Linked DNA regions of Medicago truncatula. Each later gene encodes a partner of the first gene's protein in a complex. Links are inferred from orthologs where the notes say so. Each region holds a gene or a part of one and is shown on either strand. Other genes may lie near its edges.

Region 1 (7,115 bases):
CAAATATCATTTCTCCAAAAAAAAAAAACTAGCTTAAATTTCATGTTCTGAATCTTAGGGTAAGAGTTTTTGCTTCAAGTAACTACCATATCCCAGTTCATTTTTACAGAATCATTCGGTCATAAAAAAATATCCATAACACTGAAAAATGGTGAATTTGCAGCATATATAACATGAAGTATTGTGCATCATTTCCATCAAGTTCATTACATAAGACGTGATGAGTGATTAATATATGGTGATAAGTGACACACACCTCGCTTTCGTCATCCAGAACCCGATCCATGAGATATAAATCACAGAATTTAGTTATTTCCAACAATACTTCTAGCACAGAGGATCTCACAGTGGCTTTGGTCTGCAGAGAACAGAATGAACAGCATTGCTATCTCTCTGTGTTGATGTCATAAAATAAAACAAAAGTATAAGAAACGACAATTTCACACCTGAAGCTCCTCTGGACTACTTTCCTCAAGGATCACTCCAAGAAGACGACAGGTTACCTACATACAACTTATTGGTCATAATAGCCGGGAAACATAGGTCAAACAAATGTTTAACAACCAACAACACAGACTTGTAAATAAATGTTCCTCATGTCCATCCAGTTTGTACCCAACTATTTTGCACAAAGATATGCATATAACAATCTTATTCAGGTGTATTAAGAGAAAAAGAATAGTACCAGTGCCGCTTATTAAGATAGACAAAATAAAAGATATAACAAATTAAAGCACCATCCTTTAACCTAAAGAGAAACATAAAATTAGCTTGTATTTTAAAGCTGGCTTTACTTACAACCTTCACTTTTAAATAAATCAACTTATAAAGCATTAATTTAATGAATACTTATTTTAAGTTTCCCTAAAGTAATGAGATTGTTATTGATGTCGGTAAAATATATAAACTTCGTGTAAATTCTGCGTGTCTCTTGTGGGTCTATAATGAGATCACAGACTTTGTATTTATAATGGTTTTACAATAAATACATTGAATGCTTAATTAATAAGCACTAGCCTAGGAAGTTGTATACTCTAGGAGTAATAACAATCAATCGACATATGTCAACAATTCTAATCTATAAAGCTATAAACAGGTAATTTGCCATGACATGTTAATTTAACCTTAAGTAGATTAAGAATTTAAATTCTAAGACAATGGTGGTCTCCCAAATTGTCATTTCTTATGATCACAGGAGATGGTAATTTCTAGAAGGCTATAATAAACATAAAACTAAGTCTGGAACACACATCACTACTACATAAAGAGTGCATGAGAGAATATGTTTAATTACCTTTCTTCCTTCACTCAACTTCTGCCTCACTATCTGCCCCAAGGTTGGCTGAAAAAATTGAGAAAAAAGCAAACTTAGAATACTAAAGCTATAAAAAAATACAGCGGATATTAATCCACAAACATTCATGCATTGGCTGAATTCTGAATCATTAAGCAAAGGAAAGTGGGAAACAAAATAAAACATCATACCTTGACTGGCTGAAAGAACTCATCTACAACATTTTGTGCCCTTAATTCATCTGAAGGTAAAGAAGCATCAGAAGGAACAACCGACGCATTTGAATTTGTGCTAGCTCCAGGATTACTAGATGCACCACCTTGCCTTTTCCGTTGCCTCCCTTGTGTAGGATTAGGAGATCTCAACAACCTCCAAGTGAAAACAATCGCAACAGCAAGACCAGCTACCGCCCCAATAGTGCGAATATCCTAATAACAAGTACAATATCATGAGCTTTGGAATATTTACACGAGTTTAATTTTGAGACACTATTTGTGTCAAAAGTTTTATATTGTCGACAACAACAACAACCGAGAGAGCCTTATCCCACTAAGTGGGATTAGCTACATGGATCAAACTACACCATAATGTTCTATCATATGCCATATTTCGATCCAACTCATTAATCTCTAGATCTGTCCTAATAGTTTCTCTTATAGTTTTTTCAGGTCTTCCTCTACCACTAGTGATCTGACTACCTTCCATCTAATCTACTCTCCTTAATACATAATCTACAAGTCTTCTCTCTGCAATATATGCCCAACCACCTAAGCCTAGTCTCCACAATCTTTTCTCCCATCGGTGCTACCCCAACTCTCTCTTTAATGTTGTTGTTTCTAATCATATATGTAATTTTATAAGTAGTAATGATTAAAGACAAATGTTTTTAACAATTTAACAAGCATTATTGATTGATAGTGTAAAAGTCCTTATTTACACATCCTCCAAAAAAAACCAAAACATTACATTGATCATTTGTACAATCCAACTTAAACTATACCTTATTTAAATACATATTAGGTCACAATTTTTCCCCAATTTGACAAAAACCATGACACATAAAAGCTCATTTTTCCTAGTTTCTACCCACACCCAACATTAAAAGCGAAAAACCCATTTAAAGTTTCTAACAAAAAAACAAACTTCCACTCTTTGGGTTGTTAATTATCCAACCCTGGTTCCTAATCATTCAATCAACGATAAAGGGTCATAAAAAAATTCATTAAAAATATCAAATTTCTTACATAACAGTGAAAATAGAACCAATCATATATCACAAAAAAAAACAATAACAATATTTTGATATCATATATCAGATCCAATAGAATGATCAATAATTGAAAAAAGGAAGAGAGAGAGAGAGAGAGAGAGAGAGAGAGAGAGAGAGAGAGGAATACGAGAGAGAAGAGATGACCGATCTTGAAAGTAACAAAAGCACCAAAGCGTTTGATGAGGTGAAAGAGGTCTAGTTTGGAGGCATCATCGTTGTCACCACCAGACACGGCCATGTTTCACCACCGTAGGCCTCACCGGAATTTGAACAAAAAAAAACAATTGAATGAATTAACGTTGTTCAAATACAAAGAAGAAAGATGATGTTTTGTTTTATTTGTGTCTCCGTTCGTTTGCCGTCAACAACTGCGCCTATGAGCTGTCGTCAGAGGTTCTTTCCAAGTTTCTCTTCCAATTTTACCAATATCCTATTATTTTATCTTATCTTATGAATATGTCGTCCTAGGTTAAAAGATAAAAAACAAAAGTAAGTAATCATGTTTTTAGCTTTAAAATTAAACTTTTTTTTTTTTTTGCATCTATCTTAAAAATAAACATTTATTTCTTCATTAAAGAATATAAAAACTAAATGACATTCTTTTTTTTTATTAAAAAGTTTGGGAGAGTTGCTATCAAAAAGAAAGTTTAGATAAATTGAGTCTCAATACTCATCATATTATTCATTTTGAGATATAAGATTTCAACTCATTATCAACTAAACCAACTTTTACCGGCAAATAAATAACATTCTAGAGTTTTGTTATATTATAGTCATTCTCCTTTTTTTTTTTTTTTTTACTATTACCCGTTTTATAAAAAATAAAAAATAAAGGTATTTTCTCATATAAAAAAAAAAGAGGTTTTTCTTCAAGTGAAAATTTGCACATGTTAAGAAGTTTAAAATAGTAACTTTGTCTTGAAACTTGTTCATTTTATATTAAATATGTAGTTTTTTAATAAATTATTGTTGTCTTTCAATAAAAAAAATACTATTTTTAGTTGCTTTAAACATGTGCAATATTACAAATGTTAGACAAACTCAAAAAGAAATATTTTAATTTCTTTAATAAAAATATGGACAAGTTTATTAAAAATAATTGTTTTTTATATGTTGGAGAACATGTGAGACATATAAGGTGGATTCTTTATTTTCAATCTGATTTTTTTCCACACATAAGAGCATAGGATTGAACCCCTAACTACATATTTAAGGAGCACAAGTCCCTTAAACAAGAAATTCATATTTTAAGTAAATTCATATGTGGGTTGGCTCGAGTGATAAAGGATTTAGACACTTTGGGTGTGTTTGGTTTGGAAGACAAGTTGTGAAGAGAGAAATAGGTGAGAGAGAGAGAGAGAGAGAGAGAGAGAGAGAGAGAGAGTGAGAAAAGAGAAATATGTGAGAAATAGAGTAGATTTGATGGGTTGTTTGTTATAAAAGAGATGAGAGAAATAGAAGAGAAAGAAGTGTTGATTATTTATAAAAATACCAAGATACCCCTACAATAAAGTGAATAGATTGAGAATATAATATTTTAATGCAAGGGCAACAATGGAACAACAAAGTGAATAGTCTTCTGTCTCCCCTTTCTTCTCTATTTTCTTCTCTATTGTGAGGAGAAACCAAAAAGTGATGGATCCCATTACTTTTTAATCTCTATTTCCTATTTCTCTTCGTTCCAAACAAGAGAAAGTTGCTCTCTCTTCCCTCTTTCTCTCTTCCTTATTTATCTTCAACCAAAGAGACCATAAGTAACTTAGCACGAGTTAGATTCATGCGTCTTGCATAGACATGGTAACAAAACCCATACCCGCAGTTACCCGCCCGAACCAAACTCAATTTGACGGGTTTTCCCCGTTTTGACTGGGTTTGGGTATGAGTATGGATTTTCCCCGATTTCAAAACACGGGTATGGGACGGGTAACGGGTATTTAGGTACCCACTTCGAACCCATACCCGTCTAACAAATGTATGTTATTTTGTTTGATAATTGTCATGTTAATAAAAACTACCATTGATATTTAAAGGATCAACTAAATCATTCTGTCTAACAAATGTTAAAGTGAGCATATTGTTGGATAATGTATTACAACGTTTCTCTTGGGGATGCAAAACACTTCTATTTTTTATTAAAAAAAATTATTCGATACGGGGGATGGGGATGGAGTGGGGATACCCGAACCCGTCGGGGATGGGGATGAGATTCAATTTCTCATCCCCGTTGGGTATGGGTAGGGTAACAGGTAAGTATATGAAAATCAGGTATAGGGACGGGGAAGGTAAAACCCGACCCCACCCTGCCCCATTGACATGCCTAGTCTTGCATTTGAAGAAAATTGAGTTGCAAAGAAAGAACTCGTCTATGATAAATTTATATATTCTTGTTTTTTTTTTTTTTTTTTTAAAAAAAGTTTAGATTGGTTGGATCTTGAGGGATCATTAGAGTCAGGATAAATCTCAAGGTTTAAAGGAGGCTTACAAATATATTTACATATCATTCATCAAACACGGCTGCAAGAGTTGAACTCGTTTTTTTGCTTAACATGCATTCAACTTCATACCATCTAAACCAACCTTTATTGGCTAAATTCATATATTCTTCATATAAGTGAGTGCATTAAATTAACATCATGGAACAAAATTCGAATCTCACATAAAACAACAGTAAAAGGAATTGAGTTCGAATCTCATATAGAATAATAGTAAAATAATCATTAGTCTTATAATAATTTTTTTTTCTCCTTAAAAAAAATTAATTTTTTTTTCGTTCTTCTATCTTTCCTTTTTAGAAAAATTGGGTGCGTCAAATTATGTATTTAATTAAATTAAATTAAACATACATTGTAAATTAAATTGGCAATCAATTATAAAATGTTAGATGATTAGAACCTTTTTTTTTTCAAAAAAAAAAAAATTAGAAACGTTAAACTTTTACTATAACTTTTTTTTTTTTGAACTCACATACATAATTGGTTCTGATGTAATAGTAGGGTTTGAAAATTAAATTATTTCTTTGATCATTCTATCTTTCATTTTATTTTGACAAAATCACGTGATAAAAAAATTAACCAAAAAAGAAAAGTGAGAATGAGAGAAAAAGAAGACATACATCACTTTAAGTTTGTATAACTTTTATCATTTAATTAAGTACATTATATGATGACTCCAAGAATAACAAGCTTTAGGAAAAATAAAATTTAAAGAGAACAATGAATATAATTGTATTTTGTTACAACTAAAGCCAAATTTGACAAAGTTCGTATCAATCATATTCATATAAATAAGAAACTGGCCAATGAATAATCCAATAATTGCTTAGCCATGAAGAAAAAGAGAAGGACTAAACAGGGCAAGGGACCCCAAAATTGACAACAGAAAGAAAGAAAAGTACTTATGTCAGTCCATAATCCACAATTGGAGGTGGGGAAGAGCTTTGCTGATCTTCAACTGATATTTCAGTCTCAAAAGATTTTGGTGACAATATCCTTTCAATCTTCAAGCCAGTTCCATTTACAAGCATCTCTTTTTCTAAGTGCAAACAGTAACTCTCAAAAACTCGAGGGCATACCATAACTTTAAAATCCAACAGAAAGAGTAACTCTAATTCCAGCTTGTTCAATTCAGCATTGCTAACCCCTCCTACTCGAGCATATACCGCGTTGTTATAATGTCTACAGCTCAGAAAACCAAAGAACATGATGCACAAAATCAGAACAAAGACGATATTACAGTAAGCTAAAAGAGAAGTAAAACTAACCATTACTTAAAAGGCCTGGATAAATAGCTTAATTAAGCACTTATAGCTTAAGTGTTTATGCATAAACTATTTCGATAACAAAAAATAAAATAAAGTCGATCTGTTTTCATATAAACTATAAATTGTTTTTCTAAGCTATCATAGAGAACTTATGATAATAAGCAAAAAAAAAAAAAACAACTAATGGACATATCACAAGTAGTTTTCATAAGCTCTCTCAAAGAGTCTCATAAGTGTTTATGTAATAGATAAACTCGGATAAGCTAATCCAAATAGGCCTTTAAATCAACTTCAGTTCCTTTAATAGTGCAATAAAACAGTAAGCTTTAGGAGAAGTAAAATGGGGTTAGGGACTCACTCATCATCTAGCATCTTGGAAGCAACCATGACACTGGTAACTAGCAACCTGTGCACATTCAAGGATAAGACTAGAGAATCAGGGTGCTTGTGAGTCAGCATGTCTATATACACATAGCCAACCACAAAACATGATGGGCTACAATTAGTGTATTTGTATATCCTCTCCAAGTACTTAGGTATGCTTATTCCTGGTGCTCTTACGCCATGAAACAAATTCAAGCTCTTCCCTAATCTTACTGAGCCATTATTCAGCTTATCTAGTTCCTGGTTCAACTCATCTACTAGCTTTTCATTGCGAGACACCAGCTTCTCTAAGGTGGAAGAGAGGATCCACAGCACTCTTGGCAAGTTCAGCTCGGCAGGCCCTGTTACCGGCTGATTCTGCCGGCTATGGTTGCTGTACTCACTTGCTGTTAACATTTAGGCCATCT
Region 2 (7,345 bases), on another chromosome or scaffold:
CTGGATGAGCCATCAATGCAATTATAGCTCTACAAACAGATTGCAGAGTCCATGCGGGGCTCCAAGCAGTTTTCAAGATATCTAGGCAAATCTCTCCGGTCTGGAAAATTATTAGAAGTTTAAAAAGTATTCATGAAAAAATGTCAAGAAAAACAAATCCAATTGAATAAAATGAAGTTATCTATCAAATTTATAAAGAACAAAAGGAAAGCAAAAATAATTGACTAGGAATTCAACTTCAAATCAATATTGTTGTCAGTTTCCAACAAGTTCTTATGAAACTCAAAGGGGAGGGGGTGTAATAGTGGAAATTACCAGTCTCTAACTTATCAACATCATTGGTCTTCCCATTATAGAGAAGGCAGTCAAGACAACCACACCAGTCTAAATCTTAATTCAGCTGTTTGATTCGGATTGGCTGGAGAGAAAAAAATTAAAACCAATCTAATCACATGCAACATGTTTGGATCCTCTTATACCACAAACTCGAAACAAGCCAACTTGTGAATACCCCTAATTTCACACTGATGGTTCATAGAACTATGAAAGAGACTACTAGGGTATCAGATCCCATTCACTCTTCATGTGAACAACTACTAGATATTTTTAAGTACAAATTACAATGACTTCCCTGGGATATCTTCAAATAACACAGACATCCCCTCTATTTTTAAATCAAGCTCTATCCTCGTTTAATTTTGAAGGTGACAGCTGCCTCCCTTATAAATTAACATCGTTTTCCATCCATTAAAACAAAAATTCCTCAGAACATAGTTTTAAAAACCGGACAGGCCGAACCGGAAACCAGAGCCATGGCTGGTCCAGTCACTGTGTTGGACCAGATAAGCATATGAACCGGTTGATTTCCAGTTGAACTGGTCGAACCGGTTCTATTCAACAGTTAAACTGGTTTGTAGTTACATCAAAAATTAAATAAATGGCACTGGATCTCTAAGGAGTAGAACATGAGACAATTGATGTGCTACTTTACATCCTTAACTGCTGGGAAAACGTGGAATCTTGCAAAATTATCACTTCTACTTGTTTAAATATATATATATAACTGATGTTACTAGTTTTCTGTGTTAGATTACTTGCTTTAATATGTATGTTACTACTTTTTTCGAAAAAAAGTATATATTAACATTTAACTTTTATAAACTATATTGTTATAACGTTAACTTTCAAGACTTATCAAATTAAAAATAAATTTAGTATATGTATTTATAAGTAATAAATTTGTAACGATTTATATTTTAATATAAACTGGGTCAACAGTCATGCGGTTCAACTAGACTACTAACACAGGGCCTTGACTGGGTTGATCCCGGCTGCGGTTAGGGTTTTAAAACATTGCGTCAGACTACTTTCCCTCACTCAGCAAATAATCTTCAAAGAAGGGAATATGCAAAGAAAGCATGACGACATTGGTAAAGCTACTCTCTTACTAAATCTACCTTTTCCATCACAATTAAAATACAGCACCTGAATTACCATGTGTTGCCGAATTAACATTAACTTACTGGTACATTTTATTTTGCCAATTAAAATCCATACTTCAACAAGTTCAATGAGCGTAAAGTTCACCCAAATTGGTCGGCTTATTGTTAACCCGACAACAAGTGGCATACAGGGTGCAGACATCTAGATAATGGCTCAATACCCCAATCATGTGAGGCATATTAGTGCTGCCATGTTCCAACCAATTTGGTATATTAGTTGCTCAATTTGGCATGGAGATAATTAAGTTTTACCAGCCAAACCAAGATGAAAATAGACCAACCAATTTGATATATTATTAGCTATTGTCATCGTGTTCTTGATTTTGTAGACAATATATGAAGTCAAACACCAAACTGAAAAAAGCAAAGGCACGGGGTGTATCCATCATTCACACCAGACTTTAGAAAAATACAATTATTACCCTCCAGCAGCGGAGCTTTAGGCTCAGAAAGCCAGTTTCACAGATGAGACACCAAATGAAGAAGACGGCAGACAAAAACTTTTTCTCTTTTTGTCGGGTAACAGTGTTAAAGTTGGGGGAGGTTAGTGTCTTTGGCAAACTAGAGGGTGTATGTGTGATATTTTAACATATCTCAGGGCAATGCAATGCAATTTACCCTATTTTTAAACTATTATCATCACTTATATGGAATGCTTGATAAATCATTCATCAGCAAAACAAATTAGGATGATATAATTCTCTTCAGATATCATACAATTGTGTTCTAAAAGTGAAAAGCATCAGCAAACAACAATCTGATAGTATCTTACAGAGCAATCCATTGTACCTTAAAATGCACGTTGGGGTGAAATATTTTAGTCAAAAACCGAACTTGAGGAGGTTGTAAAGGATAATGCTCTGGAACAGAAAATGCAAGCTGGAAAACACCCCCATCAAACGGAGTCTCTGAAGGTCCCTGGTGGTAAACAAAATAAACCAGAGCAAATCTCAGATCATCCCAACAACAATAACAACTAAGTCTTATCCCACTATGTGGGGTCAGATCAAATTACGTCATAATGTTCTATCATAAACCATATTCTAATCGTCGAGAGCATTCGCTAGCATACCTTGATTAGAGCTGTCCATTTAAAAATGTTGGAATCATCACAAACGAGTTGAATATCAGGATCAGCTGTCTTCTCTCGTTGCACTTCTTTGTACTCCTTGAACAGCCTCGCCCTTGATGCCTGCGTTAAAAACACAAACAAATCCAATTTCAATATGCTAAGCTTTCTGCAATTACAAGAACACAAATCCAATTTTGCATAACCCTAACTAACCAATAACCACCAACAAACAAGACCTACTAATCAATTCAATACAAGATAATTGAAGTCACTAAGAATTGCATCCATTAACGAACGAACCTGCATGATTGATATTCACAACAAGAAAAAGAGGTGAAGAAATCTCAAAAAATGTCGAAGAAAATTATCACTACATTCGTTTCTCTCTCCTCTAATTGATACTTTTCCCTTTTGTGAATCAACCGTTGGATTAATACAACGGCGGAGAATTGCACGGGAGAGACCGTACAGATAGACAAAACGGCACTAGGGGATTGGTTGAAAGTCTTCCTTAGACGCAACCTTTTGTCATTTAGACACTCACACATAAAATACATTTTATTTAATTATTTAAAAAATAGTCATTATTTAATTTTATTTATTTATTTTTGAGAAAAAGTATTATTTAATTTTTCTTTTTCTCTATCTTTTTCTCAATTATGGGGATTGGATTCCAGCTGACTTTCTTTTTTATAATTTTTTTAACTTTTAATTTTATTGAATAATTTAGTGTGCACTATAATTTTACGAGATTAGTGATGATGATGGTGTAAAATAATTTTCCATCATCATACGAATATATCTTGTAACCATCTTTTAAAACTAACAATTGCATTTTTTTATTCTTTTAGTTTAAGTCTTAGTAAGGAAAAATTACTAACATAACAACTATAATTTCTCATTCAAAAATAAATATAAAACTTGTTTACTCTAATAATACATACTATCTTTCTTTAATCTAATTTGATAAATAATAATAGTTTAGGGAATATGCACTAATAGTGTAAATTAGTTTTACATTGTCGTTTGATAAGAACTATTTATATTGTCAAGGCTAGTTTTATAATTATAGTGCATGTCCCATTTTCTCATATGATAATTAGGGTACACAAATCAAGTATAATTGGTGTCCATTTTCAATGTTAACTTTTTTATGAATTCAATCTTATATTATCATTTTGATCCTCGTTATTTCTTTAATCCATATAATATTATTTAAGTCTCTGTAATATATATTTTCCATTTCAAACCCATTTTTTCGGGTCGAGACCCTATCATATATGGAACTAATTAAGCATAAACCAAGGGTGACTTTAAATTAGAAGAACCATCGGTGAACCTAAACAAATCACTTGATGTGGTCGGTCACCAACCAATCACCGTTTTTGAGAAGGAAAAAAACTCCGCTTTTGAATTTTGGATCCTCTCCTGCTAGTTCTCTCCAGCCTTACATTCTACATTAATCTCAGCCTTCGATTTTGTCTTTACCACTCATTTTCCTCTTTTGTCAACACTGTTGGATTAAATCCAACGCTTGAAAAGTGCACAGGGAAGATGGCAGTACCAAAACAGCAGGAGTGATCCGTTTGCCCGTTTTTGAGATCACTCAAAAAAATAAAAAATGGAGACAATATTGGTGTTCATAGAGTGAGAAAACAAGGAGTGCGGACAGGAAAAAAAAAATGATGGGGAACAAAACTAAAAGGAACCCCATAGTATAACAAGGACCGTAATGAAACGAATACATTTAATGGAGATCACTCCAAAAAAAATAAAAAATCAGGGACCAAAGTGAAAATGTAGGTATATATATATATATTACAGGGATAAAAAAAGAAATATTATTATAGCCTAAATCTATCGCCGGTTGGCAGAGAAGCAAAACAATATGGAACAGTAACAAAACAAAAATATACATATATATTATATTACTATAAAGAAAGTAAAATGTAAAGAATAATGAAAAAAAATGGCAAGAGTAGGCAAACAAGTGAAAAAGGCAAAAAAACAAATCTTAGTTTTTTAAGGGCTATCAGCTGGGGCCTGGAGTGGATTTTGGTTTCACTTTTGAAAAGTCAATAAGATCTCCAAATAACTTATCCTCAGGCTTGGAAGGCTTTCCGGATGGCGCATAAGATGCAGCAGAAACCTGGTAAGGATTTCTTGAAGCATTATCATCTCTCACAGATAAACCATACATTTGCTGCTCGATATATTGAGGCCCTTGTTGCTGTTGCTGACCATAGCCATATCCCATAAATTGGTTACCATACATCTGTTGAGGATACATGGAAGCCACGGGACCATTTTGCATTTGATGCGGAACCATGCCCATATAAGGACCTGCAACACCCTGAATATACGGAGGCTGCAAACCAAATTGGTTACTTTGAACCTGGTTATTGATTGAAGAGAAATGGCTAGCATTTGGCTGCATATACATTCCAGCAGCCTGGTCATACCCGGTTGCTTGAGGTCCCTGAGGAAGGGCAGCAGTTTGTACATGTACCGTGACTTGCAGTGGCTGCGGGTATTGACTGCCGGCTACTGGACTACCATTGTCTGCAGGTTGAATTTCCCAAGGAGGAGGGGGAAATGATCCACCACTTTGTGCACCTGTATACGAAAATTTCATGAACCAACTCAAAAGTAAAGATCAGAAATCATAGAAACTACTATAAAGAATAGAACATAATTGTGAAAGGAGTTGAGCAAGACAGGAATTAAATCTAAAAGGAAGCATTAAGTGCACCATAAACGGGTGAAGGTGGCTGTTGCTGTTGCTGCTGCACAACCTGACCATTCCAGGCAGGACCTGTGTTTTGAGTATATATTGATTGCTCGTACCGAGGTGATCCCACATTAGGCATACTTCCATTCGGGTAAAATACACCTTGAGATATGATAGTTTGTTGTTGAAATTGGGGGGCTATTAGCTGGGTATTAACAGAAGTGGGTACAATGTTTCCATTAGAAAACAAATCAAAAGGAACAAGGGCATTCTGTTGAGACACAGGACTGGCAGGCTGTTGTTCTACAGGAACAAGAGCAAGTGAATTATCTGCTTTTGGTGAGTTATACTCTTCACCACTGAGCAGATCCCATTTGGGATCAACTTTTACTGGAGGAGCCGAACCATTTGATGTAGAGGGTGCAGGAAGCAACAATTGATTAAATGTTTGAGACCCTGCTTCAGCACTAGAAGATGATCTGTAAAAAAACATATTAACTTGAGAGCCATATAATATAACCAAAAGGCACCAGACAGGTTTAGTCAACTTGAAATGCTTTTCGACACCAATCTATTTCTGCATGTTTATACTTAATATACACAAATCTTCAGCCAAAACTAAGCCTATGATCCATTGCTCCGACATAGAGTAAAACACATAAATGGAGACTTCCTGTGACACATAATGCTCCCAGGTCAAATAAGAAGAATGAAAAAAACTAAGTGTTTGATTCCCTTACTAAAATCCATTTTTCAGTTTTTAAATAAAAACTGAAAAACTTGTCTGATTAACTTTTTAGTGAAATTGTTTTACAAAAATGATTCTTGTTTTCTTGTTTTTAAAACTTGAAAATCAAAACAGGTAATACTGGTTTTAAAAACTAAAAACCAAAATACAATCAAACAAGCCCTAACAATCCAAAATAAATTAGCACAGAACTTCACACAGCCCTAGCTTTTAAGCCAAAACTCATCTTCAAATCCCCATAAAGCAAAGAGATCAGACCACTAGAAACAATATAAAAAAATTTCCCAGTTTCATTGGGCAAATATAATTTTTGATTTATTTTGAATTAGAAAAATCACTGTGTCAAGAAGAAAATAGCAAACAGAAAAGAATCACGTGTATTATAACAGGGTGAAAAATGAATTACTTGAATTATAATTGGGTAAGAGTTAAGAACAATAGTATCCTATGTAAATGAATGCAGAGAGTAGAAATGGAGAGCGGAAATAGACATTGGACTACCTCGCATCAGTTTGTTTACTAGTATCTCCAGTATCAATCAAAGGACCATCAACATCTATAAGTGCTCCACTAGGTTCAGGATTTGGTTTCTCAGTGTGATTTTGAACAGCAGCTCCTGAAGAAATGGATTCATGCTTGTGATTTTGAACAGCAGCTCCCGAAGAAATGGATTCATGCTTGGAAAGTACACGCTGCAGATCATCATTAAGAGCTAGTCCTTGGCATAGAAGTGACTCATCCCTGGAGAAAATTAAACCATAAATAATAACTAGTTTTTTCTTTGGATTTAAATAAGAAATTTCCTCAAGAATACACAAAATGAATTTAACATGTAAAGAATATGATGATGTGGTCATCATGAAAAAGAACAGCAGGCCTTACGAAGTTGAATTAACAAGGTGTACCACTCTTTGCTTGTATGTGCGACATTGCTCCACCAAATCAACAATAACTTCCTGCCGGAGGCCCTAAACATAGAAGTAACGGTCATACATGTAATGCACTAATGCTACATATTCAAAAAAATCGGTGCTTTTCCCCCATTGATAAAACCCTCAAGTTTCACATGATATTTTTCTATCTAGATACATCATAATTTGAAAGCTCAAATTGAACATCTTACTTCTTTGTTACTACTAGGCTCTAAAGCAGTGAGCATTTCTGCAAGAACGTCCATAATACCACGTGCATTCTGAATTTCGGTCAAACTGACAACAAAAAGCTCAATTAGAACAAATCAATGCAGAGTCAGATATGGTAATTTGTACCACAGAGAATAATGTTTATCATCG

What was found.
Region 2: the proteins of peroxisome biogenesis protein 22 (region 1) and protein PEROXIN-4 are in contact, whole or in part, in a crystal structure (PDB 6XOD), measured with the Arabidopsis thaliana proteins. The link is inferred for Medicago truncatula from reciprocal best matches to the Arabidopsis thaliana genes PEX22 and PEX4. Residues at the interface, in NP_566696.2 of Arabidopsis thaliana: Tyr182, Val187, Leu188, Asp189, Asp190, Glu193, Asp214, Lys215, Leu217, Phe218, Cys219, Ser220, Thr221, Gly224, Ser227, Phe228, Arg230, Gln231, Leu232, Glu233; in NP_001031939.1 of Arabidopsis thaliana: Phe78, Phe84, Lys85, Asn125, Asp127, Asn130, Leu131, Gly135, Asp136, Val137, Arg138, Gly139, Ser142, Met143, Met146, Tyr147, Arg149, Leu150.

What each region holds. Positions count from the first base shown.
Region 1 is NC_053043.1:43,578,390-43,585,504, forward strand, and holds the start of peroxisome biogenesis protein 22, read right to left. Parts: upstream 3,005-7,115; 5' UTR 2,803-3,004; coding exon 2,692-2,802; intron 1,723-2,691; coding exon 1,486-1,722; intron 1,343-1,485; coding exon 1,295-1,342; intron 504-1,294; coding exon 447-503; intron 359-446; coding exon 257-358; intron 1-256. Other genes in the region: cyclin-U1-1, read right to left, coding at 5,959-6,238, 6,683-7,104. UniProt on the Arabidopsis thaliana protein: May be tethered PEX4 to the peroxisome membrane and may be involved in a late step of the matrix protein import. Does not play a role in the biogenesis of the peroxisomal membrane.
Region 2 is NC_053044.1:54,405,065-54,412,409, reverse strand, and holds the start of protein PEROXIN-4, read right to left. Parts: upstream 3,028-7,345; 5' UTR 2,881-3,027; coding exon 2,875-2,880; intron 2,695-2,874; coding exon 2,575-2,694; intron 2,421-2,574; coding exon 2,292-2,420; intron 101-2,291; coding exon 1-100. Other genes in the region: TOM1-like protein 9, read right to left, coding at 4,607-5,190, 5,327-5,784, 6,555-6,794, 6,936-7,021, 7,177-7,261. UniProt on the Arabidopsis thaliana protein: Required for peroxisome biogenesis. Necessary for the developmental elimination of obsolete peroxisome matrix proteins. May be involved in the ubiquitination of PEX5, targeting it for recycling.